Oreochromis niloticus: one gene and its partners. The protein of the gene in region 1 binds, or shares a complex with, the protein of each later gene. Links are inferred from orthologs where the notes say so. Each region holds a gene or a part of one and is shown in the gene's direction. Other genes may lie near its edges.

Region 1 (6,825 bases):
ATGACCTGGGCCAGGAAATACTAGTGTTGGTCTCTTCCTGTATACCTCTGGGTTCAAAAAGGGTCATAGGGCTTCTAGTGAAAACTACAGTATGGAGGAAAAACAAGTAAATATATGCCCTAAAATTAAATTCATGTAACTTAAATATGAGTAGCCGCCGCTGTGCTGTAGTAGTAAAAAGGTTACACTGTGATCTTACTACTTGAGGAAGCACTGCCCAGCTCGTTTCGGTGTTAATGGAGCACCATGGAACAAATGTTTGGGGCGGCAGGGGTGTTAAACACGCCGGGGGTCAGTGTCTATACCATGGCAACGGCTGGGATGCAGCCTCCTGGGAAAGCAGACATTCAGCCGAGCAGAGCTGTACAACAGCCTGCGCACAAAAACACTGCAAGTCGTAACATGCGTTCCATTCCAGAGTAAGAACGCTAACGATCTAGCAGAAGCACACACACAACAAAACACTTCAAAGAATGGGACTAAAGTTGATTAGCTCACTCATCTGCATCACCTGTGGTTTCATTTACGTGATAAACAAGTAGGTTTTTCCACTATATTGAATGTACAAGGTCAAATACAAACAGCAACTGACAACAGCAATAACTGTCATTATATATCATCTCATATAACTGAGCCTGAAAAGCAACTTGAAGTAAGGAAAAGTGTTATTACACAAGTAGAAATGAACGGACATGGAATCAAGCGGAGGTACAAGCTGACACAACCAGAACAGGCGAAAATTCGCCAAAGAAAGCTGTCTTAGCCACAGATCAAATCTCCTCTGACAGGATTACAGGCCTGCACTTTCTAACAATGGATGATGAATGGGTTGCAAAGAGATTTTGATAAAAGGGGGTTGGAAAAACATGCACATACAAACCCACAGCCTGTGCCACTGTACCAATCCACTGTAATACCCTTAGATGTATTGACATTTTCATTGTGGAAACCAAATCAAATGTCATGCACAACAGAAACAGCCCTCCAAAGCAGCCAGTCAGAGTCAACACTCATGCAAATTCTTATAAGAGCCTGTCCAGTATTCTCAAGTGTCACCAGCCAGAAGCTTTTTAGATCTACACACCACCTATTTATTCATTCATTTCCTCCCGAGCCTAGCCAATAATTTCCGAGAGATCCCATTGCCAAACACCGATTGCTCAAGACAAATGAGATGACACAATGGGCTCGCCAGTCCGCCCACGGAGCAGTGAGGATGAGACGAGTCAGCCTTCACTGCATGACATTTCTGAATTGGATTTCCAATTAGGAGAATTTAATGTAATAATCTCAAGCAAATTTTGCAGTCTCCACTAAGTAACACAGTGGCGCATCACCCCAAGCTTTGCCTTAACACTTCTCCCTCAGAGGAAGGCGGCTGTTACCGGGAAACCCAAGGGAGCAATTTTACATGATTGACATACACTTTACCACAGACAGGCGACCTGCAGGTTGTATGAGAGGCAGCATTTAAAAAGGCTATAAGCCTTATATTTTTAAGGAGTCGACTCCTTTTCAACAAAAGGACTTTTTTTATTCTTTCTTTGCAGGTTTTCATATCACGTGTAACACACAGAAACTTCATGATTAAAAAAAAAAAAAATTATCTGTCACCAGAGAGAAAAACAAGAATCAAACTGTGGTGAGCCAATAATGCAGATAACACAGCGCAAAATGAAAAATAACTTATCTGATTTTTTTTTATTTGATTTTTTTTTTAATATCTTATTTAATGTTCTCAACATCTGCACAACCTTACGGGGATCTTATACTTCTACTAAGGGCTTGTCCCTTTACTATATCTTTTAGCTTTACCCAGTGTGTGATTTTGGGTAATTGAATCTGGTTATGTCCACAGTCACTATCAATTGCAGACAATACAGTGTGGGCAAGTATGACAGCTACTTTATATAACTCTGGGCTGTTTTTTCAGTTTTTAATAGTGACCTCATAACTACTGAAGGCAGACAGAGAGAGCAGGAGGAAGGAGAGCTAACTCTTTCTAACCATACAGAGTAGGTCTTTAATAGATGTGACAAACCACATCAAACGTTTACCTCACCGAGGACTTCCTCCAGTGACTACTAAAAAAAGAAAGTCATATTCCTGGCTCACACAAATCTGAGGATAGTCAATAAGGCTTCATACGACAAAGATTTCCTTAAAATAAGAGAATTTTGCTAAACAATGAGAATCCAATTGTGACAAGACTTTCCATCTCCAGACCTGTGACTGTGTTCACGTCCAGACGCCATGTAAGCATTATAATTACTGACACATCTGCAATTCGTTTCTTTAAACGTAATCGTGGGCCGATTCGTTGCAGATTTCGTTAGTTAAGTTGCATAATTTCCTCCCAGGCTGTTTGTGCACATTATAGTAGAAATGGCAGTAACACAGGAGGAGGTGTAGGCTAACAAAGAAGCATGCCACTGCTTGGGCGCTGCACTGGTTTGGCTTGCGACTGTTTGACAATGCAGGGAAGCATGCAAACATGAAACATCGTTTCTTGCAGTAACAATAAAGGATTGGGTAATATTCGCCAGGGGCAAAGCTGCTGGCTGTCTCCCATGTAGTCAGAGCCACCTCGCCTCGGCTTTCCCTAAGCCTACCTGAGCAGACTGGAGAGCGGATGAGAGGAGGCGCCGTGGCCACCGCTGTTGCCGCTTCCACCGGTCCCAGACGATCCGCCAGCGGACTGTCGCTTCCCGGATAAAAGCTTCTCCACAGCAGCCAGGTTTCCCGTGCGCGCCGCTTCAAGAAGCTCCTGCTCCTTTCCCATCGCGGATCCCAGAAAGAAATCAAAGGAGGCGCGGGGAAGAGAAGGAAAAAGGGGAGGGGGGTTGGTTATGGGAGTGAAATTCCTGTGCGAGCCCCTCTTTCTCCCGACCTCAAGTTATTCCTCAGTGCTGCTAAGTGTGGAGAGGAAACAAAAGCTCCCTCCGCCGCGCTGGATCCGTCCGTCCCGATCCACGGGTGCTTCTGGCGCTCACGGGAGTGAAAAGTTTCCTTCAACAGCACGGCACAAGCATCGAACAAACTTCCTCTGACCAGACCACTGAGCGTCGTCCGTCACTTCCTCGAAACTGCCCTTTCTTTATGCATCTCCAATCCGAAACCCTTCAGACGCACACACACTCGCACACACACACACACACACATTTATACCCCCTAATACCGCCGCCCTTACTGCTTCAATCAGAAGGTGGATGGATATAAGCAAGATGGCGCATTGGTTAGAGACAGGCAGGATTTACCCATTCAGTGCTTTTAAGATCTGTTCGCCTCTGACCTCTTGTATCCACAGTAAACGTCCATACATAGTCGCTTAATTACTTACTAAACGCTTTTTAAGTTACTGATTGGTAGTCTATAAATACAAATAATACTACTAGTAATAAAATCAATAATAATAACAATAAGAAGAACACAAATTAAGAATAAAATTTTTTAGGAATAACTATAACTGTGAATTAATCTTACTGTCAATGGAACTACCTGACATTAGCAGCTAGGCAACTCTAATCGTATTAATTCCGGTCAAATTAATAAATGTTTTACAGCATTTTGTCCAGTGAAAGTAGATAATCTGGGAAATAACAAGAGAAAACCAAGGAATATATTATGCTTTATTTATTTCAGACAGAAGCCACTTGCAGCCTGAATATTTACTGAATATTGCGCTGTAATTAAGGGGCAAAAAGACAAAGCAAAACGAAACAAACAAACAAATGAATGAACATCGTCCTGTTTATTCCTAACTTCTGAACGTTACTTCCATAGTCCGTCGCTGGTTACTACACAGAAGGCGGTGTTAATAAAGTTCATACAAAACGGAAACGGAAATGCGTATGCTGTGTTAGCAACATTACCAGGGAAATTAGCCATCTGATGCATCGTACCTCTTACTATAGGTGGTTACATATTTATATAATCCACAGCTACTGCGTTCATTAGAATATAATTTTGTGTACTGGGGTATATTATATAAATCAGGCATATGTTAGCCGCCGCTAGCTTCTAATCGTTAACTCTAATCGTTAGCTTAAATTGACGGCCAGACTGTTGCCGCTGCTTTGTTGACGCCTAGCTGCGGACAGGGTATGTGCATACTCGTTTGTTTGTTTTTTGTAAAGTTTTATCCACACACTGCTATTAATACTAATGTACCTAATTTCTGGGCTATCTAGCTAAAACAATTAAGTAATTTAGCTAATTGTAGCTAGCTTTTTAGAGTTGGGGTTAAGTATCTCATCAACTTCTTTGATATTTGCAGAATCTAAAGTGAAATTAGTAAAATGGCAGACCCTGCACGGATCAAGAGCGATGATGCACTTGAGAGGACATCTCCTACCGACGAGGAGCACCTGAAGTCAGAGGAAAGCGAAAATCCTTCAGCCACAGAAAAACCTGCAAATGAAAACCTAGAGACATCGTCGCAAGATCAGCTTAAAGAAATTAAACATGTGAGTTTCGGAGCGTCATTTGCATAAGTTATTCAAGAAAGAGGTTATAAAAGAAAAAGTGTGATAATTAGGGCGATGAAGAAAGTAAACAGGAGTACTGGAAGGCTGGACGCACTGCAAAGGCTTATAGTGAGTTGTATGTGAGGAAGGAGAAAAAGAACTTGTATCGACTGGTAGACGGAGAAATCAAGATGGAAAGTATTTGAAGAAGGTTGGGGTGATTAAGGATAGAGATGGAAATATGGTAACAAATGGATCTAGAGAGAGGAAATGATTGGGTGCCAAGGGAGGATTGCTGTTACAGCATGATAAGGCAGGAGTGGCAGAGAACTATGTAAAGGTGTTACCGGACATGTACAACGATATTGAGACAATGGTGAGGTGTGCGGCAGGAATTACATATAGGTTAAAGGTACATCAGGATAATAGATGAGGTCAGGCAGGTCATAGTTTATGTGAATTTTGATGTTTTCAGACTGCGTTGTGGCTGTTAGTGGGAATGGGGAGCAGATAGAAGAGAGGTGGAGATATGTGCTGGAGAGAAGAGGAATCAAAGTCAGTAGAAGCAAACAGAATACATGTACTTGAATGAGAGGGGAATAGGCTTAAAAGTGAAAATGTAAGGAGCTGAGGTACTGAGCGTAGATTAGTCTATAAATATATGGGCTCAGCCATCCAAAGCAATGAACCGTGCAAAACGGAAGTGAACAAGGGAGTGCAGCCATACAAGATGGTAATGAGACCTGCAATGAGGTGTTGTTTGGAGACAGTGGGGGTAACAAAAAGACAGGAGGTGGAGTTTAAGGATGCTAAGATTTTCACTGGGAGTGACCAGTGTGGACAGGGTTAGACATAGTTTAAACCAACAAAAATCCTAAAACCTGAATGATCAGATTTGAATTTACAGGCTGTCATTTGTGTTTTTGTTATGTGGTTTCACAGTGGTGTCTCTTTCTTTGTAGTATTTCTGAATAATTTTGTCTTCCACTGGATAGGAAACACCAGGAGGAGAAGATGAGGAAGAGGGAACCTCTGGCCAGCCTCCTTTGAAAAGGTTAAAAGTGGAACCTGAGAAGAAAAAGGAGAAGCGGCACAAGGTTGATGAAGATGAAATACAGAAGATGCAGTAAGACGGCCTTTTTAATCTCACAGGTCATCGTTCTTATTCTTGAAATTATGTAATTTGCCAAAATTCACCATAACTCCATAACATTTTCAGAGTTTTGGTGTCATCATTTTCTGAAGAGCAGCTGAATCGATATGAAATGTACAGACGTTCTGCATTCCCTAAGGCTGCCATTAAAAGGGTAAGTTTTTTGGGGTTTTTTTGGTTTTTTTAATAGAGGAAGTATTAAAAACCCTGAAATTGTTGTATTGATTTGATGCCTCTTATTTTAATATTCTAGCTCATCCAGTCAATAACAGGATCATCGGTGTCCCAGAATGTGGTTATTGCCATGTCTGGTATCGCAAAGGTCTTTGCTGGGGAAATTGTCGAGGAAGGTTAGTTGGAGGATTTAAGAAAACCGAAATCACCCAGACTACAAGGTTATATGAATTATAGTTTCATGAGGTGTCTTTGCCTTTACAGCTCTGGATGTTTGTGAGAAGTGGGGAGACACACCACCACTTCAGCCTAAGCACATGAGGGAAGCAGTGAGGAGGCTGAAGAGTAGAGATCAGATTCCCAACACAAAGTACAAGAACATTCTCTTTCACTGACACACCTGAGCTGCAGATTGTATGAGGATGACGGATAAATGCCAGTAATTTAATAAGTGGTGCAGAGCATATGGAAAACTCACCATGAAGCCACTTAACACATCTTGCAGCCAAGTAGGCAGTGACTACAGTCCTGAAGAGCAGTCAAGGCAGCTGCTAAGTAAAGCCGAGTTGCCATTCACCCCTCAAAGTCGAGGTAAACGTTTTTCTCATCATTAAATTGGTTGCAACTAAACCGTGAGAAATTATGGTTTTATTTAAAACATGTTTTATATTTTAATAGCCAATGTTTTGTTTGTTTTTCTTTTTGAGTGAAACATTTCAATGTGATTAGGGCCAAGCTGAAAATGCAAACATCATTTTTAGTTTGATTCCATATTTGAAAGCCTTCGTATCATTTAAGGCCCTTCTTCTCTGTAGCCAATAGTATTAGTTGTTTGACCATGAACTGGAATTGGAAATAGTTTGGACTCAAGACAGACTTGATGGAAAAACTGGGTTCTTGATATTTGTTACTTCAGTTTATATTTTTGTGCAGGTTGTCATCAAGACTTGATGAATTCTGTTTAAACTGTATTTGTAAATATTGTACTTTGAGATTAAAGTCAAGTTTGCATTATACTAGTAAAATGAGCAG
Region 2 (8,002 bases), on another chromosome or scaffold:
CTTGAAGGGTAATACAGTTTGAAGCTGGAGGATCTCTATATAAATATCCGATAGCAGCTAGGTCCGCAGCTGTTGAAAGGATAAAGTTGTGGTATGTCAGTGGTTAGAAATACCATTATTACTTTAGGATTAGTTTAACACAAAGTCAGGGCTGACCCAGGACCATTGCTGTGAGTCACAGTGCGCAGCATAAAGGTCCTTTCACATCTGATGCAGGATGTGCTGCTAATGCTAACTGCTAACTAAAAGCAAAGGATCCAGAATTTGTTGCGCTGGCTGCTGAGCTCTGTGGGTTTTTGCAGCAGCTCTACCTGTACTAGATGCACCTGCTCCTTGTCGTTTCTATCTCTGACTTTATGTCCTCTACAACAGTTTCTGTTTTTTTTGCTAGTTCTTCAAATGTTCAATAAAAACATGTATGCTAATTCATAACGAAGAAAGCTTTGTAATGAAGACTGTCATTTCCAAAACACTGCCCCCCCCCCCCCCCCCCCCCCGCGGTCCGCAGCGCTGTTGAAAAGGCTGTGGAAGTCCCTGTATAAAGCACGTAGACCTGTGACACAAAAATCACCAAACTCGGACGACCACAGACTGTTTTCCTTCGTGGTGATGAAGGAAAACGCTGGGTTGGCATGTAAAAGGGCATTTATTCCCTTCAAGGACCTGCAGTTCAAAAAAGTGCCCCTCCGACAGCCAAACCCATCTGTTCTCTGATTGGATTGTTACATTTGTGATTGACATGACATTCACCAATCAGATGACAGGAAGAAAAATAGGGTCAAACTTCGTATTTGTAACTTGCAGGGGAGTTTTTGGCTAAGTCCACACACAAATCTTTTTTACACATACAAATCTTTTTTACGCACGCACAAATTCTTTTTACACATACAAATCTTTTTTACACACGCACAAATTCTTTTTACACATACAAATCGTTTTTACACACACACAAATCTTTTTTACACATACAAATCTTTTTTACGCACGCACAAATTCTTTTTACACATACAAATCCTGATTTACAAGTACAAAACTGATTTACAAGTACAAAATATTTATGACCACATTTTGAGCCCATACGCAATAACAGAAGTTTGAGTTGAGCAGGAATCTTCCCAGTTAGCCTAGCGTTCAGCAAGGAGGCTGCAGCGCTGCATTATGGGATCTGTAGTTCGTATATTATTAGCGCCTCATATCGCCGGGCCATGCATAACAATAATAGTACATCTATATAAAATGATCTCGCGGGCCGGATATAAATGTACGCCGGGCCGGATGTGGCCCGCTGGCTTTAACTTTGACACATGTGCTGTAGACTTCTTTATCCCCAGAAGTCTTTTTTTCCCCTCATTTTTTCTTTTGCAAATAGAGAAGGCCCTCTGCTGGTTATTTAAAAAATTGAGCTGGGTTTAAGGCACTACTGCATTTGCTTCACTTTTCAGAACCAGAAGTTATATAAATGTAGTCTTGGGAGGTTGAAAAAAAGGAGGTTTTTGAAGATATTTCACCTCTCATACAAGAGGTTATTCAGTTCTATAAACAGGCCCAACTTGTAGAACTTTGGCAAGCTCATCCGAGCCTTTTCGATGTGGCCTCACAAAATTAAAACGACCGCAACAACTGTGAAAAGAGTTGGATGGACATTGCTGCTCAATTGCAGCTGCCTAGTCAATGTCTTTCATTAGTAATTTAGCAAAGTTGATGGTGGTGTGTGTGTGTGTGTCTGTGTGAATGAAAGACAGAGAGGGAGACCAAGAGACAGATTTTGTGTTATAAGCTTCATGTTATCACTTCACTTAATGGACGCACAGTGTGAGCACTCAGGTCACATCAGAGCATCGGGCTGTATAGTGTGAGACCATGCATCGTGACCTACGAACTTCTAACTCCTGCGATTCAATCATACAGTTTGAGCAGGAGCTGAATAACGCAACTGAAAAAAATCGCACAGTGTATGCCCAGCTTAAGCTATCCAATGAAGTGAAGCAAACAATGTCTAGATGCATGCTCAGTTATCTAGGTAAGAAAATCCCAAGAAAGGAATTGGATCCTGGATTGCGTGGCGCAAAGGACAATTGCTGCCTAAATGAAAACCTTTAGTGATCCCCTATGTCAGGAGCATCCGAACAGATGAGAGACATTTTCTTTCAACACAATGTCTCTGTGCCTTTCAAACCCCAAAACTTACTACGCCAAAAAAATTGCTTCACCCCAAGGATCGGATTCCCCAGAACAGACAAAGTAATATAGCGTACATAGTGAAGTGCCATAGTGAAGTGAGTTATACATCAGGAAAACCAAACAACCTCTGGCTGGCTAAGCAGATGGCACAACACAAACCAGCTACCTCAACAGGCCGGGACTTTTTACACCTATAGACCAGTGGCAACTCTTTCTAGGCTGAGATGTACGCATCCTGGCAACACTGGTTTTAATCAAATCAAATCACTTTTATTGTCACGTCACATGTGCAGGTACACTGGTACAGTACATGCGAGTGAAATTCTTGTGTGCGAGCTTCTCAAGCAACAGAGTTGTGCAAAAATACAATAACGTAAAACAAGCAAAAATATAAGAATGGCTAAATCTGAAAGTAATAAATATATGTACAATGTATAAGAGTATATGCATTATTGGATGTGTATACTAAATATGTTTTTCTACGTGTGTGTGTGTGTGTGTGTGTGTGTGAGTGTGTATATACATCTTTTACAAATGAAATAGAGTAAACAATAAAATAAGATATATAAAATGTGCAGAGGTTGGTAGTTGGACATGTGCAAAACAGTGGCATTAATGTACAGTATGGAGTGCATAATGTTGAAGTTCCAGTAGTGAGGGTGAGGTGTCTATGACGTGTTCAGCAGTCTGATGGCCTGGTGGAAAAAGCTGTCTCTCAGTCTGCTGGTGCGGGACCGGATGCTGCAGAACCTCCTTCCTGATGGAAGTAGTCTGAAGAGTTTATGGCTGGGGTGACTGGAGTCCTTGATGATCCTCCCCGCTTTCCTCAGGCACCGCTTCCTGTAGATGTCTTGGAGGGAGGGAAGCTCACCTCCAATTATCCGTTCAGCACACCGCACTACTCTCTGGAGAGCTTTGCAGTTGTAAGCGGTGCTGTTGCCATACCAGGTGGTGATGCATCCAGTGAGGATGCTCTCAATGGCACAGCGATAGAAGGTCCTGAGGATGTGGGGGCTCATGCCGAATCTTTTCAGTCTCCTGAGAAAGAAGAGGCGCTGCTGCGCCTTCTTCACTGTTTTGTTTATGTGTACTGACCATGTGAGATCCTCAGCCAGATGTACACCAAGGAAGCGGAAGCTGCTCACTCTCTCCACAGCGGCGCCGTTGATGGTGATGGGGGTGTGTACTTCCCTGCACCTCCGGAAGTCCACTATCAACTCCTTTGTCTTTGCGACGTTGAGGGTGAGATGGTTGTCTTGACACCAGTGGGTCAGGGCGCTGACCTCCTCCCTGTAGGCCGTCTCATCACCGTTGGTGATAAGACCCACTCCCTTTTATGTAGGGAGACAAGCAGGCCATTCATGTAGGGAGTGACTACAGGAACAGATCAGAGGTACATTTTTTCACCATCTTACAGCCTTTCTCCCACTCTCTGTGAATGGTACTCAAGGCCATTGATCAGTGATTGATCAGTGGTGATAACCATTTGCATATTAATGATCACGAAACTGACCTCACACCCATCATTAATCAGTGGGGCTAGTTTCAGTCATTATGCAAATATATTGTTATAAGGTTCAGGAAATCTGCAGTCAGCTGAGACTTAAGACGTCCCTTGGAGGAGTGACAAAGCATTTCTCCCTCTGAAAACACAAAGTCGAGGTGAAGAGAATCAACTTTCTGGAATCCAATCAAATAACGACTCACAACAGTAGGTAAGTGACTCTCAGGACAGGCCAGTCTAGGGCTAAATACCGAAGACTCTCCGGTGGTTAGAGGAAGCTTCTTGAATAAAATGGCAAAACTTCTTTGAGAACCTAAAGAAGTCCCATTGACTTATTTTCCAGCAGTCAAGACTTCTGGATTGACTGAGAACCTACACAGACACATTTGACACTTCCAGCATTCGCCACAGCTAATAAGCTTCACCATCACCAAATCTACAACCAGTTTTGAGACCCATGATAGAATTTGAGACTTCGGATTAAACAGCCATCTCCAGCACCATTGTCACAGAACCAATACAGATTTTTTTTTTCAAGAATGGTCCTTAAGGGATCCAATAACTTAGGAGAATCATTGCAGAGGTGCACTGAAGCTTTTGTGGTGGGCACATGGTGACCAGACACATTGACACTGGCTTTCCTTTGATGTGACTGTCAGTTTGTTATACAAGTCTGGAAATATATGGAGATAAACTGAAATTCGACTGCTTAATAAAGGTCTACAGCTGGAAGGCGGTGATCATTTTTAATAATCCAGCACCACCCAGTGTGGGGAATTAAACCTGCAGGCAAACCACGCTCTATTTCTCACACAAACTCATGTGATAAAGTTTACGTTAGCTTTCCAAATTTAAGAGTCACCTAGAATTAGCTTTAGTCTGACAAAATGAATTTTAAAAAGCCACCCTGCAAATTGGGATTTTGTTTTTCTCAGACAGTGGGTATATTTTTCTTGAAATATTCTACTTTTTACTTGGGCCGGAAGTGAGAAACAGTTACTTCGGCGTCACTCGGCGGTGAGAAGCTAAAACCGAAACTGACGGCTGGCGTGCCCTGAACGTTGTGAATGTTCCTGCAGCGTCAAAAAAAACGCGCATAGCTTAGTTTAGTTGAGTCATGGCTCTAATTTAAAGCCATGTTTCATCTACGGTAACTAGTCTACATTCAATAGCCCAACTAATGACCATTCCCAGCCTGAGTAAAATCTAGCTTCCTGTATAACCCACAGAGAGAGCTCCTGCGCCTGTGCAGACAGTCACGATCCGCTCGAACTCCGCAGAGCCGTGTAGGCGGAGGCTCACTGGCGCGCATGCGCGGACTAGATTCCGGGGATGGGTCTATCGATGGAAACAAGATGGCGACTCTGGCAAAAGCGCCAATATATTTACTGAAGTAGATGTCCATATTTAACCGTGGTAGTGGGTTTTCCCAAGCCCTTCGGGGCATTCCGCGAAACATGAAGAGCGGGAGCATGTTTTCCAAGAGGAATTGACCGGGATTAATATCGTAACAAAGTCAGCGAGATGTGCGAGAGCTATGCCCGCTCGCTGCTGCGTGTCTCGGTGGCGCAGATCTGCCAGGCTCTGGGCTGGGATGCGGTTCAGCTCACTGCGTGTGATCTGCTGTCCGATGTGCTGCATCGGTACATCCAGCAGTTGGGTCGGGTCTGTCATCGATACTCTGAGTTGTGTAAGTGCTTTCTTTGGTTCTCTTATTACTTTTTTTAGCCTGTAAACTCAAAAGTAGTCGATCACGTTGTTGTTAACTGGCTCTGCAGCTGGCGCCCCCTAGCAAGCAGTTAATGTGTCAGAAAGTACAGTAGGAACAGCAAAGCGACTTCCCCAGTACTATTATTATTATTATTGGGAGTATGCTGCTTTGCATCTGTTTTCAGTGCTAAAAGTAGCCGATCTCACGAGTATTGGTTACTTAATTGCTGTATAATCTATAAAATAACGTCGTATGCCGACTGTAAACCTGTTGAGCATCACTTCTTGGTGCAGGAAGAGTGTGTGCAGAGTGTGTGCTGTGGTTTAATGACAGCATTTTTGATCCATTTCAGATGGAAGAACAGATCCAGTCCTGGACGATGTCAGCCAGGCTTTCAGACTGCTAGGGGTGAGTCTGAGCGAACTGGAGGACTACGTCAACAACCTGGAGCCTGTGCCCTTCAGCCACCAAACACCGCTCTACCCTGTTAGCAAAAACAATGTCCTGCAGTTTCCCCAACCTGGAGTTCGAGATGCAGAGGAAAGGAAGGATTACATTCCAGAGTATATGCCACCCCTGGTCTCCTTACAAGAAGGTCAGTATAATAACTTGTATAGTATTAGCTATATGATCATTACTTTTTAGTGTGCACAGGCTGAAAGTTGAAAGCAAAGTCGAATCAAGTCCTCTCTAAATACTTTGCAAACAATATAGCATTATAATTAAGTTTATTGCAGGGTTGTTACATTAGACTATGATGTAACACAGCAGATTCGTAAAATAGTTTTTTACGAATCATCTTTTTGCTTTGTAGACATTTTATTGTGTTGTAAATTTTTAATGTATATTTATATTATATTTTATATTTTAAGTTGCTAAAAATAAGTGTAAATGCATCAATTCACACAAAGTGAAATACTTTTTTTAATACCCAAATATATTCAGTCAAAAGTCAGTCAAGTCAAAAGTTCAAACTAAAGTCATATGTTTATGTTGTAAATGTCATGTTGTTATTGTCAAAGTTCTTAGTTCTGTTTTTTATCTCCTTTACTCTAGAAGAAGAGGAGGAAGAGGTCCCCCCTGATATGGGTACTTCAGCTGAAGCTATGCAGGTGGCACTGGAAGAGGATGAGGAGGAAATAGATGAAGATGAAACGGTCAACGATGAAAATCATCCACTAAAGAGGCACCTGGATAGTCCTGATGCAGCTATGGGCATGATGCCTACCTCCAAGAGACCTCGGATGTACCCTGGCCTCAGCCCAGAGTGGGGTCTTGAGCCCAGGGAGCCCCTTACGTCTCTCAACCCTCAACGTGTTAGTCCAGGTATTCTGCCTTCTCATGACAGCCTGGACCCCCTGTCACCTGAAATGCCATCTGGTACCCTGCCTTCCTTTAGACCTCAGCCCGTAATACCAAAACACTCTGATCAGAAGGCCCTCACTGCTCCAGCAAGAAAGCCTAAGGTCTCTTCCCCTGGCAGACAAAGGACTAAGTCCCCTAAAGGGGTTATTCCTGTTCCAGTGGTTGGCAGTCCCATAAATTCACCAAAACCATCTAAGGAAAAGAAAAAGTCTCCAGGCAAGACAAAGAGTCCTAAAAGCCCCAAGAGCCCTAAAATGGCCCCTGCTAAAGCCCCCCAACCTCAGAGCAAACCAGATGTCATGCAAAAGTTACCGTTGTCCACACCGAGTGAGAGCATGGGCAAAGACAATATTCATTTGCGTCAGAACATAGAAGAAAGGGAGCTAATTGCAGGCCCTTTCAAGAAATTAGAGCCAGATAATAGAGCAATTGATGATTCTATTGACGCTGTGATAGCTAGAGCATGTGCTGAACGGAAACCCGATCCATTCGCGTTCTCCTCGGGCTCTGAGTCGGATAGCAATGGATTCTCCAGTCCCAGGAGACTGACTATTATGGAGCCATCTACACCTAAAGGCCCAATTGGTGCTGGCATCTTGTTAAAAGACACGTCAACACCACTTCACCCTCCGCCACACATAGGCCTGGGGAATTGGACGATGGATGATTCAATCAACGAGGTGATCCGAAAGGCCAACCAGGGGGGGCCATCTGCCCCCGCTGCACCCCAACCGGCAGCAGATTACGTGTCATCCGGATCAGCTTCACCACCTACCCCTGAACCACTCCTCAAGGTGTTTGAGGAGAAAAATAAGATTGTGTCATCAATAGATGTCAAGAAGAAGCTAAAGAAGGAGCTGAAAACTAAGATGAAGAAGAAGGAGAAAGACAAGCCAAAAGATAAAGACAGGGAAAAAGATAAGAGTAAGCTGAAAGAGAAGAATAAGGACAAGAACAGGGATAAAAACAAGGAGTTTTCTAAAGATGGGAAGATGCCCTGGAAGGAGTTTGGGGTAAAGGACGAGGAACTTTTTGTTCCACGAGACTTCGCCCTGGCTGAGGGCTCAATCAAAATGAAGTCAAGAGATGGGGACGGCTCTAAAAAGGAGAAGGAGAAACATAAAGACAAAAAGAAGGATAAAGAAAAAAGTAAAAAGGACAAGGATAAAAAGGACAAGGGGAAAGATAAGAGCAAGGACGACAAGCAGAAGCAATCTACATTATCCCCCTTTGGTCTGGGT
Region 3 (8,003 bases), about 4.9 Mb from region 1:
ATGGAAAAAAAACATTTTACCTGGTAGGTACACTTAAAGCATGTGGATATAACGAACAAATACATGTAATATTCAGATTTATATAATACTTTTTTATTTTTCAACTACAGTTCATCTCCATAGATGAACTCTTTATTTATTGTATTTGGTATTCTTGATTTAAATCTGAAAATCAGGCAGAATAACTCAAAACACCTGAGTGTCTGTGTGGTAACACCCTGGCTGTGACCTGAGGAGCCTAAAGCAAACAATCTAGAGCATGCTGAGTGTATTTTATTTTAAATTCTCAGCTCCATACGGACTTATTTCTCACCCTGAATGTGTTTCTGCCCTCTACAGGTCAGTGTTGCTGTTTTGACCCAGCATACAGCTGGTTTGCGTCAGCAGCTCCCAGGTACTGAGAACAACAAGTGGTTGATTCAAGCGGTGTGGGAGATCCACAGTCTGTGTGGGGCATTTTATTTTGGAGAGAGTGCCTAGGAAGCTTCCCAAAAACCACACCAAAGTACACAAACCACAACGAAACTCACATGCTCGGATGCACGAGTCTCATTTTTAACCAGAACAGTTTTGACAGTATTCAACAGAACTGTGTGATCTAGGAGGGAAAGCGATGGATGAGATGGGCTCAGCTCTAGCCGGGCTTTGCATGACTATCCGTGTCGTTTATGGTGACGATGTTCCTGACCACTGGTTTTTGATGGGGCAGAAGTCAGCTCATCCGAACACTTTGTGTTCATGATTCCATGCTTAAAATAATACACACAATGACGTCAATGACAATTATTGTACTTGATCATGTGTAAAGCACTTTCTATAGCCAGCCTGCATTTGTAAGCACAATAGAATAGAATAAGAAAACCGCATGCTTACTGCATCCAATAAGCCATACTGTTGTAATTTAATATGGTAAAGTTGTCTCATATTTTTGTTACTTTCTTTAAGTTAATTGTTTCATTAATTTATTTTTTTAATTATTTGCTTCTTTTTAAAAAAAATAAAATAAAATAGAGCAGATCAAATTCAAGTTTGAAATAAAAAAAATATATAACAATGTATATTTAAACAAACCTATCATTAACAGTGTAAATGCCACAAGTATATTCATTAAATGCCATAAACCTACTAGAACTTTTACATTCAGCTAAAGTCTATTGTTAAACATCTTTATTCACTTATTGTAAGCGGTTTACTTTGGGCAGTCTGCTGTTTGTCTCAGTATGTGGCTTTGTAATGATGGATTTAACATATATTAATGTTATATATGTATTATGCTGGGATCTCTGTATACTCAAAAATAAAGGATCTGCATTTGTTTTGCTGTGGTTGTTTTACCTTCACTCCTGGGAAACAAATTAATGGTAAACTTTGTAAATTAAATTAAGCTATTGCCAGTACATACACTAGCTAACCAATCACATTTCAGCCGGCAGCTCAATGCATGGTCAAGATGAGCCGCTAAAATACAAAGCAAGCATCAGAATGAGAAAAAAAAAAGGTGATTTGCAGTAAGTTACTTTGAACGTAGCATGGTTGCTTGTGCCAGATGAGCTGGTCTGCATATTTTACAAAGTACTGATCCTTTTTAGCACATTTAGCACCACATTGAATCCTGAAGCTGATGGGCTACAGCAGCAGAAGGCCACACTGGATCCTTGCCAGGTGGGCAACAGGAAACTCAGGGTACAGTTTAAACAGGCTTTGGTCAGACGTGTTTACTTTCTAAATATAGATTTTTTTTTTCTTCTTGTTAATTTCTGCAACTTTCTGCAAACTTGCATGTTATTTAGCATCATCCTAATATAAATACATCATAAACTGGGACTCATTTAACCTGAGCTGGTAACCTCAGTTAATCTAACCAACAAGCCAATTAGCAGGCTGTACTTCTGTACTTCAGCCTTTCCAGCACAGTCAGGATTACAAGGAGCAATGTACTTAGAACAGCAGGTTCCAGACGGAGTAAATTAAGCCAAGTAAGCCAACAGATACAAAACATGTCCTTGTGACCAGGTTTAAATGGCTTTTATTATAAGATGTGAATAGGAGTCAAAAGCTGAGAAATTTATGTTGACTTAAAGGGTATATGCTTTACATTATTATTCAGTTAACCCCGTTTATGAATTTCCTGTATTTGCCAAGCTGGATTCAACAAGAATAATCTAACTGCAAACACTGTGTTACAGGTAAAACACTCAGTTTTAAAATCTCTGAAATAAAAAAGTCACTGTGTGTGTAATTTCTGTAATTATTTTCACATATAAACATTTTAAATACTGTGTATCTAAACTCCTTCTCCCCTTAGCTCCTGTTGAAAGAGTTTTCACATCCACATTTGCCATAAAACTTCCCCCTCAACCACAGCATGGTGACTTGGTGAAGTCCAGAATAGAGACAGACTGTTCATTTCAGGCAGAAGTAACAAAAAAATGGAGCAAAGGTCTCCAAACAGTCTCAACATTTTCCCAGCAGTGGCAAACATAAATGCCCAGAGCTCAAACTGAGTTGCTCAAAGAGGAACATTATCGACTGTGTAATTATTGCGTTATTACCTGCAATATTTTAGGCAACCCTGCAATCCAAAAGAGGACAAACGGGGTGAAAGGTTGTCCCTGGATTAGCTATGAAGAGTGGAATTAGTGTGGATACTTTTTAGCATTTTCTTCTGTATTTTACTCTGACCTGATGTATTAGTAAGAAATTCTTTACATAAAATCTTCACCTCCTTATTCAGTTCAAAATCTCAAAGTACTGAATTAAAAAGTAATGCTTTAATGTAATGTCATGAGTAATCTGTATAACTGCTCTACTTTACTTAGAAAATTATATTAATATGCAATACGACAGTTAAAGACTTATTGTAACGTATTTGGTCACTACCAGCACAGCTAAAAGTCAAACTGGATAAAATGTTAAGCATGATTCATCTGGTGTACAGATGTTAAAGCAACGTGTGGTTGTCATTTTCACTCAGTGATGATGTCTCTGTGACAAAGATCAGACACATTTCCCAACTCGCTACTCTTCTCTCGTGCAGCAGGGAACTGGTTCAAAGGGCAGAGAGTTTGAGACACGTACACACGCACGTACTGTCAGCATTTTGGACAGATTTAGGTCCAGGAGCAGAGCAGCTCAGGACAGCATGTTTTAGGGGATTCTATTGACCCTTATCTTCTAATGAGGCTTATCTATTGCTGTTCAATAGGGGGTATTCCATGTGTAACCAATACTGTTGTCAGACAATATCAATTAACCAATAAATGGGGCTGGCTTTCCACAGCCCTGCATACGCTTATTGGACACTAATGAAGCTCTCCTGATAAAGATCAATATGCATGGCACAAACCCAGGACTCATGTTGTTCAGTGGTCAGTAACATGTTAACTGTCTGAATGTTTACATCATTTATTCATTTATTTTTAACTTTTCTTACACAGAAGGTGTGCCTGTGTGTGCTTGAAGAAGTTAATGAGTACCAACCAATGTTGCAAAGCATTACTTACTGTCAGAACAATATAATGTTTACTGCACGAACTGCACATGCAGAGTTCAGGCAACATGTCACATCACATGCATTTCATCACATACAGGGATTGGATGTGTCTGCCCTTTTACCCAAACAAGTTCTAATCTCCAACAAAACAATTGGAGTACAAGTGGCCTCATGAATATGCATTGTGTCCCCAGTGTGGGCGTTAACCTGGCCCTGCTTGGGTTTAAATATGCAGGCTCTGCCTTTGCCTCTGCCTGCAAAGCCTGATTACTCAGAGCGCACAGAAAAAGAGAATAAGAGAGTTTGCGCGTGTGCTTTGAAGTAAGTATTATTCTCTCTTTTTTGTGGATAGTAGAATTTTTGCATTTTAATTAAATGGATTAGTTGTCAGGAGTAAATCTTTGTACTGTTTACAGAATATCTGGTTACAATTGTTCCTTTTCTTTTAACAGACTCATCGACAACACATTATGGAAAACTTTGGCGAGATCATCCCATTTGCGAAGGAGATGCTGACACAGAGACCCAGCCGGAGCATGCTGAAGATCTACATGCTCGGCTCTACTCTGGCAATGCTTGGTATGGTCGGGGGACTGGTAGAGATGGCTTTCCTGCCCTTTGTGGAGAGAGATACTGAGGAGGATGAACCAGCAGAGCTTATCATCCTGAAGAAGAAGGAGAAGAAGCAGGTGCTGAAGCCACACACTGCCTCTGCTGATAGTGAAGTTGTTGATGTGGTGGATACAGTAATGCCTGAGGAAAAAGCCAAATATCTTTTGACTTCAAGGCGGAGAAGCTCGGCCAACCGCTTACATGCTTCTTAAAGAAACTTTCTCCTCTTCACATAAATGGACACTAGAGATGATGGTAATGTTGGTAAATCAAGTCATTGTGTGGAAATGGTCCCTTCGTGCCCATTCTTTATTTCAAAAATTGGTTAAATGTGCAGTTTGCTCCTGTTGACTGGGTAAAAAATGAGATGAGATACAGTGAAGACTGCGGGTTACAGTAATGTTGGCTGCTGGGCAGCAGATATTTGTGAATGTGATGTGATAGATTTGTTGTAAAAGTGGAATATGTGTGATTAAATTTGTTTTGCACCCTAATAAAAATATATTTTTTTCTCCAAACAATTGTCTCAGACCATGACTTTAATATAATCTGTGGGGTAGGTTACTTCAAAGAGCGGACCTCGTGTTATAATTAGCAAAAAGAGAGAAAATGGAACTAAAAAGATGCAACTGATCTTTTAATCTCAATTTTCTTCATTTAATGCAATAATTTTAGAACTATGACTGAAAAATATATTTTAAAAAGTATCACAAATACCTTTTCCAAGTACTTATTTTGCATTACAAATTACCAAATTAAAAGCCTGCTATATTAATTTTACAGCAGAGGATTTTCACAAATTAGAAGTTGAAGCAGGTGTAGTTTTACAGATGAACACTCGGGGGCGACAGACAAACAACATGTGTGATACGATCGCCTTCCGCTAGAGTGGCGGAAACAACGTCATACAGTCGTGCCGTGTTTACTAACGGCGGCTAAACGGTGTTCGGAGAGATACAAATATAAATCTGGTCAAAACAACGAGGAGGTTTCTAATAACTGCAGATGGCGGATCCTGCGGTGGCGTCGGGAGGCCCTCTGAATGCGGGAGCGGTAAGAAATGTGTTTTTGGGTCACGGAGAGGAGGCGGATGTAGCATGTAGAGGCGGATTCGCGGTGCTTGGCTAACAGTCAGACTGCACTGAAGTCCTAATTCAATTTAACAACTTTAAATAAATATAATTTAGTCCGGTGAAAGCTTGAAATACGTTTTTATAGACTATAAGGTGGGTTAACTTTATCTATGTCAGTGCTTACCCTGTCTGAATAAATGTTTGTGTCCTTAAAGTGACAGGAAGAGGTACGTTTTACATGTTCTTTAGTCTTAACATATGGGCACATCCTCATCTAAATTACAGCTGTGAACAAATAGAGTCTATACCAATATCACAAACACTAAATTTAGGGAGAATGAAGGTTTTAGCAACACTTCTTGTATTTTTCATCGATATTTGGGGTAGACCGACAAACCGTTCGAGCTGTTATAACTTCCATCTGTCTGCTAACTACAAGGGATGGCTATTAATAACATTTTAGACAAGGTCAGTTTATTTATAAAGCACCTTTATTATTAATAATAAAGTGGCACAGCCATTCAGTACAGTTTAATTTTATTTATATAGTGCCAATTCACAGCAACAGCCCCCTCAAGGCGCTCTATATTATAGACAAAAAAACCTACAATAATACAAAGAAATCCAACAGTCAGACCACCCCTAGGCAGCTTTAATGTTTGTCTGTTTTGTTTGGCCTATAAAGTATAAATCGTGCCTATTTGGATCTAAAAATGCTGGCGGAAAAAAAAAAAACGAAAATTCAAAAAAAATGTTTGATCTTTGTTGATATCCCTGACGTTTACATGAGCTAACCATGCCACTAAGTCTGGATTCATGAAAATGTTGAGGACAGTCCAGTTTGTTTGTTTGTTGTTTTTCCCCCCAATAAATACAGCAGCAGATTTTAAAGGTGTTTTCTGTCCACATGGTTGGGGAAGGTTCAGTGAGCATTTGCAGTATGTGTTATCACTTTGACTCAGAACTGTTGCATCAGTCTCCAGTGTAATCAATGGAGTGAGCATTGCAGTTTCAAGCTGCTTTAGTACCTCGGGGATAATGCAGTTTGCTGCAGTGGCAAAAATTAAATCTCTCAATTACACAAATGTATCTTACAGAAACATGTCCACCATCCTAAGCTCACTAAGAGCTGGATGGTGAATTAGAACAATACATTTTAATATTAACATAAAATTAATTATTATAGAATTGATTCAGATAAACAAAATGCCTTTTTAAATCACCCAGAGCCCAAATATTCTCCCACTTTCACCACCAGCACTGGGAATGTTTAATAAGTCTGTTCAGTAAGGACTCTTGAGAAATGTTTGTGAAATGTAGAAAATATGACAATTTTGTAGGTTTAGAGGCTCCTTGCCACTATATTTGTTAGAAGTCACATTTATTTCTAATGTTATGGTAATAGCCCTCATAACCTTAGTGTGCATGCACATTGTTGGCATATTGGTGTGTCCACCAAGCAAAGGGAATAACATACACTGTGTGGTAAATTTGCAAAGCTAGGCTCATTATGCTCTGTTTGTTATACTTCAAATTACAAAAGCTAATGTCCATGTGCCCCTTAGCTGTAAGTCAATTAAAGATTCTGGAACCATGTGTCTGTTTATTTAGCCTTTTAAAGAATCCTTTAGTCCCAAGTGTGTTGTGACTATAAGGAGATATTTTTCTCATTAAGACAACGGCATATCTATATGTATTTCTGTTGTATACCCTTATTCACATTTATTTTATTTTTCTCAGCGTGGAAGTGCTGGTAAAGCAACTTCTAGCCCTGCAGAAAACTACCTCCTGGCCCGCCGTCGAACCCTGCAGGTCGTTGTCAGCGCCCTGTTGACTGAGAGTGGCTTCGAGAGTGCAGAGAAGGCAGCTGTGGAAACCCTAACTGAGATGTTGCAGAGCTGTATGTATGATTTTTAAGTATACACCATCCACTGGGAAAGCTGTAAATCTTTAAGTGCCACTTTTACAATATATATCTGAACACCAGTGCAAGTGCACCTCACTTTATTTAACCTACTTTCTTAAATAAACACTAATGGGAATAATTTTGGTAGAGGTTGGTGAAAAAAAGCTGAGAAACTGACATAACTGAGCCCCTGTAGACTATTTTCAGAGCAGACGTTTCTTGAATTTGCAGTTGGTTGATGATTCATGTTTACAGAACTGATTATTTTTGTCTCTGTTTTTAGATATTACTGAAATAGGTCGATGTGCCAAAGCATACTGTGAACACACAGCCAGGAGCGTCCCGACACTGTCAGACACAGTGGTCACGCTTATTGAAATGGGTAAGACCTCCTATAACACATATGGATTAAACGTTGCTAAGAGAACACAATACTGATTCGATTTATTCTGTTTGTGTCATTAAAGGTTTCAATGTTGATACTTTGCCCATATATGCTAAAAGATCACAAAGGATGGTCATAACTGCCCGTAAGTAGGAACTCAGCTCTCCATTATTAGTATTAAAATGAATGACTTGAGACCTTTTGATCCAGTGGTTTTAGATGTGAAAAATGTTTATTTATTTATTTTTTAATTTCAGCTCCAGTGACAAATGCTCCTGTGACTCCCAAAGCGCTGTCAGCTGGACAGAAGCGCACACATCCAGCCCACATCCCCAGCCACTTCCCAGAATTCCCCGACCCTCACACGTATATCAAAACACCTGTGAGTCAGAACTTTTCCACTTCATTATGGAGATCCCTAGAAAGCTGGATTGTGTATTATAGAAGTACAACTGTACTAAAAAGTAAGCCACTTAAGAGTTTTTCTTCCTGTAGACTTTCAGAGAGCCCGTGTCAGACTACCAAGTGGTGAGA
Region 4 (5,808 bases), about 19 Mb from region 1:
TGCACTGCAACTGATGTACAGGTGGGAGTACGGAGGAGAGACTTTACATGGGAGCTCAAAGGAGAGAAATGAGAAGAGCTCGTAGGGTGCTACAGCATATTTGGAATTTCAACACACTGGCTGTTGTGTTGTGCTCAAGTCATAAACCCGAAACCAATCAGGTCTGTGTTCTAAATTTCACTACTTTTTACACGTTGGGTCTTGGGCTTGAGAAACTACTGCTGATCTATTACACATGTGAACTATTTCCTATTTACATGTAAATGAGGTGTGGGTGTCAGAATAGACACCTTGTTGACACTTAATCAGTTTCTTAAATGGAAAATGACCATCACACTGCATAGTGGGGTCTGTAAAGGTTTTCAAAAGACTTGTAATGCCATAATTAGGGGCTACAGAGCTTAATTTAACGCAGCGACAAAACATGAAAGAAAATGAACTTATTCTATACTCACCTTCATTAAACAGGAAGAGGGGAAAGAGCCCAAGGAACATGAGAGGTTGGAGGTGGTACATGGCATCTATTGGGTTTTGAAGGCCTAAAACAGTGCAGCATGAAAAAGATGAAAATAAGAGGGAACTGTGTCCCCGCTGGGAAATCTCAAATCATAGCAGAGTTTTAAATCAGTGCTTTACAAGCCTGGCATATAGTTAAAGTTACTGCTGTTGGGCTTCAATGTGTTTTACTTTGTAAATGCTTATGGATGGATGCTGCTGTAATAAACTCAGAGGAAAGACAGTGGGAAGCAACAACCCAACTTTACCTGCTGTTAATGTTGTGTCAAAACCTGCATTAGAGCCATCACTGGTGGATCTTGTTAACTTTTTGTAGACCATTCAAGGATGACGGCTAGGTTGAAACCACATAACAGGATATTTTGGGTCTCTCTGATAGTTGTTTTCTTTTTTTTGTATTTCACACCAATCCTCTTTGAAATGGTGTGTATCATGTTTTACTGTATACCTGATGAAAGCCACAACTCAAAATTAATTGGTGTAGCTCCAGGTTATAGGCTTTTTAACCTCTTTGGAAGCCCTCACTCCACAGTGACTGAACACTTACCCAGCTCGGCTTTCTGCGTGAGGACCTGAGTGAGGGTCCATCGAATCCCCCCTATGAAGGATGCTAGGAGCACCAGAATAAAGCCTTCCAGGTTAAACTGGGTCGACTCAAAGGTAAACATAAAGAGACCGCAGGAGATCAACAGGACCACCAGGATCAGAAATGGGTTCTGGATTTAAAGGGAGAAAAGACAATGACACAGCAGTTTCAAGTTAAAATTGAACAGAAAAAAGAAGAAGAAAGAAACAGGATGGCAGATAAAAGAAGAACAGACAAAGCACAAACTAGAGGAGAGATTAGACAAGAGGTAAGGATTGCTCATTACTGCTCATGTGATGAAACCCCCATCAAGCTACACAAAACACCACTGTGCTCTGTAACAGGAAGTGATACAAAACTGAAGTGAGAGCTCAAACACCTCATAGTGAGTGACTATTGTGATTTGGTGCTATATAGATAAAGTTGAACTGAATCGAATCTTTAAGCTATGACACCATTAAGAAAAATTGGCATATTTATAACCGATCCATCACCGCTGCATGTGCAGCACTGTTTTCAAATTAGAAATTTCGCATGTTCTGCTACAGCCACAGTGCACTTTGTGAACGTTGCTGGATGCCTGCTTTGTGCAATGCACCACAATCGAGAAAACAGACTAAAAGAATTGCCTCTTGTATCATTTTGCCTGTATGAGAAGCATGCTTAATTCTCCAGTTGTGTCTGCGTGACATTAAAGTGAAGACAAAACTGCACTGTTAGCACTGCTGTCAGCGTCATGTGATCAGTACACTCACCGGCTCCTCCAGTTTAAAGACCAGAGAGAAAAACAGGATAAACAGCACTGCTGAGGACTTGGTCATGGTATACCTTGAATGACACAAAATAAAAGTCGTAGAATATGTAAGGAACAATACAGTGACTGGTTAAGATAAAATACTGAGCTTCTAATAAAAATCTCCAAACCACAAACTTACAGGCTAATGGTGATGAAGAGGAAGCTCCAATTGGAAAGTCCGATATCCAGCGCTGTTGCGATGGCTGCGGGTAAGAAGGACAGAATTTAGAAGTACAGGATGACAGGTTCATTTTAAAACTTAAACACAGTTAAAACCACTCATTTCACTGCATTTAGAGCACAAATACCCACTAAAAAAAAATAAAAAATACATGGGGCGCACCCTGGGGCGCCTCTGTCAGTGCGCCCCAGGGTGGCTGTGGCTACTATGTAGCTTGCCATCACCAGTGTGTGAATGTGTGTGTGAATGGGTGGATGTCTGGATATGTAAAGCGCTTTGGGGTCCTTAGGGACTAGTAAAGCGCTATATAAATACAGGCCATTTACCATTTACCATGTATATAATCAATCCCACTGCCCTTTATTCACATATTAAAATCACCTTGATGTTGTTTTAGTGTATACAGTACAACGGAACAAAATATTAATTACTTTTGATTTAATTACTCTGAATTTTTGCTTTTCTCAGTCTTTGACTCACTTTTTCCTTCTGACTCTTTTGCTGTTCTAACAGGTAAATTTCCTCAGTGTGGGATTATTTCAACTGATCTTATTACAACTTAAGTTTGGGCAGAATTTTAGTTTATACGAGGCAAAACTGGTTTGGAACGATTCATTTAATGCGCTTGCTTTTACATATCTTCATCAGTCTCCTCAGGGTTGGCGTTTTTATTCTCTCCACACAGACTTTAGACGAAGCATTCCGCAGAGCTTAGTCAATCGGTGAACCCAATAAGAGGCGACTGTCCCTTGTCTAAATCACCAGTCTCCCGACTCAAGATAAAACTCACCTGTGGGTGCTACTTTTCTGAGGTACTCTTTCCACCTCAGAGTAACACGAGGTTTCCCTGTCCACCACTGCACAGCCTGTCGTGTCAGAGCTGACAGACAGAAGATGATGGTGAGGTGAACTAAAGTCATGAAGAGGGGGTAATGGAAGCCCTGAGAGAGGGAGAGAGACAGCTGGGGTCATCTAGGATGGCCTAGTCAGTGTAGGTCTCCTTCTCAGGATCCAGGAGACTCCCAAACAAGCAAAGCAGAGCGCCCTCAGGTGCTTATTTTCATTAATCACCTTTAATACAACCAAGCATGTTATAGGAAACTGACATGGCTGTATGAGCTTCTTTACTCACCTTCATTAGCCATTTGTTATAGAATGTGATGCCTATAGAGAAGACATAGTAGAGAAGAACTAATCCAACAGTGCGCAGCCCCCTGCACAGGAACTGGACCGGGCACGCCATACAGGACTGCCAGGACCAGCTGTCCACAACACACAGCTACTGCAGAGGGGCCATCTCCGACCTGAACCCACATCCTCCCCGAACAGCCATACCAGACCTCTTTACAGCAGAAAAGGAACAGAAACACCGCAGAGAAGAAAAACAAGGTTACAGCAGGACTGCGTTTGTGCACATTAATGCCAGTTAGTGGAACAGGCGCTCAGACAGAATTTAAGCGAAACCTATTTGATACAATGTTAGCATAACGGCAACATTCATTTTAGCTCAAATTAAACGTTATCAGCTACTAGCAATCTCTTAACTGCGTCTGCTAGCGGATAAGCAGCTGGTAACAATGTTGTGCTAATCTTAAACACTGTGCGTTAACTAACAGGAACATCAGACAGCCCCAGCAGACGAACTCACCAGCAACAGTCCTCCAAGAGTGACTGAGAGAGGAAGGCTCACTGGATAGCTGCTACGTTTTATAGGTCAAACTGGTTTCTTTGTTAACTTGCCTTATAGTTCATTAGCTAACATTAGCCTGCCATTTAGCATCTATATTAACTTGTTAACATTATCAGGTCAGTAATTAGCTATAATACTCAATCCGGTTGACTGAGATAAGCTTTGAACATCACTTGGCGGGGCAGGAGTCCACAGCAAGATCCACGGGGACGTGTCACTTACTCACGGCAACGTGCACGTGCTGAGCCCTTGCGATAAGGCTCTCAGTGTTTACTTGGAATCTGAACCCTCTGTTCAAGCACCGAGATCCATTTCTTTCCACGTTAGCTGTGAGGTGTTGTTCTTGTTCAGCCACATGAACAATGCTTCTGTTTCCACTCACACCGCCAACTTGTCATCGCCCTTTGTGCATAGTTTGTCTAGGTCTAGGGTTTAGCTAAAGTAAAACCAAATGAAAATGGCGTAGCTTTTTTTACATTCTAAGCAAGCTACGTGTCGGCGATTCCCGCATAAACCAGGCGATATTAAATTAAGTTCGATCTTCCGATACAATCAAACAGATCGCGCTTTAAAGGAAACTCACCGTCAGCTGTGTTGGCTTCTTCACTTCTTCTTCTTCTTTGTGTTTAACGGCGGTTGGCAACCAACGTAAAGGAGCATTACCGCCTCAGCTGTGTTGGCGAATAACACGAGTAAATTTAAACACTGGCGAGAGATGGCCACAAGGGGGAGTATCTGTGATTTCTAGCCCTGTCTGTTTCCTCTACAAACCACCACTTCCTCAGTCAAGGAAACAAAAGCGGAAGTCGGCGCACATAACAAGCTGTTGTTGTGAGACAGTTGTGAACAAGCACAAGGTAAGTTTAATGTTAACGCGTATTTAACAATGAGCAGGTAATGTTGAGGTTTAGAATAACGCTTGCGGGTGTTTTTCAGCAAATGGCGGAGGAGGAGGACGAGCCAGGCTTCGACGAAGAGTTGGAGGACGGCTCCGGCGGGGTGGATGTCGGCTACGGCAAGAGAAAGAGACTCTTCTCCAAGGAGCTCCGGTGCATGATGTACGGATTTGGAGACGACCAGAACCCTTACACGGAGTCTGTGGATATTCTGGAGGATCTGGTGATCGAGTTTATCACGGAAATGACCCACAAGGCCATGTCTATCGGGCGCCAGGGTCGCGTCCAGGTGGAGGACATCGTTTTCCTCATTCGCAAAGATCCCAGGAAGTTTGCTAGAGTCAAAGATCTGCTGACCATGAACGAGGAGCTGAAGAGAGCTCGGAAAGCTTTCGATGAAGCAAATTATGGCTCTTAAAATCACAACGGGACTGTTTGTTATTCCTCCCGTGACCTTTGTTTCTTTAAATTTACTGTACGTGTGCTCGTCAGTTCTTCAGTCTTCAGACTGCATGTTTGTGTCTCGTGTGTGTTTATAGACAGTAAAACAAGAAATTTCAGTGTATATGCTTGAATTCAGACTTTTTGGTTAAGTAAAATAAAGCGACTTGCCAATAGTTTTAAAGTGACCAGGTCCTCATCTTAATTTCTTGTGCGCAAACACCCCGTTATTCAGCATCACAACAAGAAATCTTTGAAATCGGCTTAGAAAAATTAACAGTGAACTCACAAATGTTAACAAATGAGTTTTTCAGTTGTTTAAAAAAAATGACCCAATTTGATGTTTGTGGTTCTTTTAATAGGATTCTAGGAGTGAACAGGGTTCAGCATTCGGAGGGACTTGGGTGTTAAAGAGCTCAACAGTTTAACATTTCTTAGCATACAATTTAAAGGATGGGGCTTTATTTTTGGTTTTTTAGTGTAAATCACTGCATGGACTGCGTTTGTGGTCACAGTATCCACAAATGCAGATGAAACATCAAACAATCACAGAAAAAATTTATTTAATGAAGAAACACTCCCCTTCCTTTCACTTGAACGCATTAACCCTGACAAGCCTGAACTATGAAATCATTGTCAGAAAAATTAATATAATTTGAAACTGGAGTGTTTATTGAGCTTCGTCATTAATTTATTAAAATG

Evidence for each region.
Region 2: taf11 (region 1) and taf3 share a complex: the UniProt entries of both Homo sapiens proteins name them as parts of the TFIID basal transcription factor complex. The link is inferred for Oreochromis niloticus from reciprocal best matches to the Homo sapiens genes TAF11 and TAF3.
Region 3: taf11 (region 1) and taf8 share a complex: the UniProt entries of both Homo sapiens proteins name them as parts of the TFIID basal transcription factor complex. The link is inferred for Oreochromis niloticus from reciprocal best matches to the Homo sapiens genes TAF11 and TAF8.
Region 4: taf11 (region 1) and taf13 share a complex: the UniProt entries of both Homo sapiens proteins name them as parts of the TFIID basal transcription factor complex. The link is inferred for Oreochromis niloticus from reciprocal best matches to the Homo sapiens genes TAF11 and TAF13.

What each region holds. Positions count from the first base shown.
Region 1 is NC_031984.2:12,203,373-12,210,197, reverse strand, and holds taf11 (transcription initiation factor TFIID subunit 11), read left to right. Parts: upstream 1-3,806; 5' UTR 3,807-3,914; exon of another isoform or gene 3,915-4,101; intron 4,102-4,276; 5' UTR 4,277-4,298; coding exon 4,299-4,466; intron 4,467-5,461; coding exon 5,462-5,592; intron 5,593-5,685; coding exon 5,686-5,773; intron 5,774-5,872; coding exon 5,873-5,969; intron 5,970-6,057; coding exon 6,058-6,188; 3' UTR 6,189-6,809; downstream 6,810-6,825. Other genes in the region: ankyrin repeat and SAM domain-containing protein 1A, read right to left, coding at 2,613-2,782. UniProt on the Homo sapiens protein: The TFIID basal transcription factor complex plays a major role in the initiation of RNA polymerase II (Pol II)-dependent transcription.
Region 2 is NC_031972.2:48,372,771-48,380,772, forward strand, and holds the start of taf3 (transcription initiation factor TFIID subunit 3), read left to right. Parts: upstream 1-4,994; 5' UTR 4,995-5,209; coding exon 5,210-5,375; intron 5,376-5,748; coding exon 5,749-5,991; intron 5,992-6,452; coding exon 6,453-8,002. UniProt on the Homo sapiens protein: The TFIID basal transcription factor complex plays a major role in the initiation of RNA polymerase II (Pol II)-dependent transcription.
Region 3 is NC_031984.2:7,320,337-7,328,339, reverse strand, and holds the start of taf8 (transcription initiation factor TFIID subunit 8), read left to right. Parts: upstream 1-4,989; 5' UTR 4,990-5,110; coding exon 5,111-5,158; intron 5,159-6,918; coding exon 6,919-7,078; intron 7,079-7,367; coding exon 7,368-7,466; intron 7,467-7,551; coding exon 7,552-7,614; intron 7,615-7,726; coding exon 7,727-7,851; intron 7,852-7,964; coding exon 7,965-8,003. Other genes in the region: g0s2 (G0/G1 switch protein 2), read left to right, coding at 3,964-4,317. UniProt on the Homo sapiens protein: The TFIID basal transcription factor complex plays a major role in the initiation of RNA polymerase II (Pol II)-dependent transcription.
Region 4 is NC_031984.2:31,664,036-31,669,843, reverse strand, and holds taf13 (transcription initiation factor TFIID subunit 13), read left to right. Parts: upstream 1-4,490; 5' UTR 4,491-4,626; intron 4,627-4,705; 5' UTR 4,706-4,708; coding exon 4,709-5,083; 3' UTR 5,084-5,294; downstream 5,295-5,808. Other genes in the region: slc35h1 (solute carrier family 35 member C2), read right to left, coding at 456-539, 1,064-1,232, 1,858-1,930, 2,038-2,101, 2,870-3,020, 3,212-3,322. UniProt on the Homo sapiens protein: The TFIID basal transcription factor complex plays a major role in the initiation of RNA polymerase II (Pol II)-dependent transcription.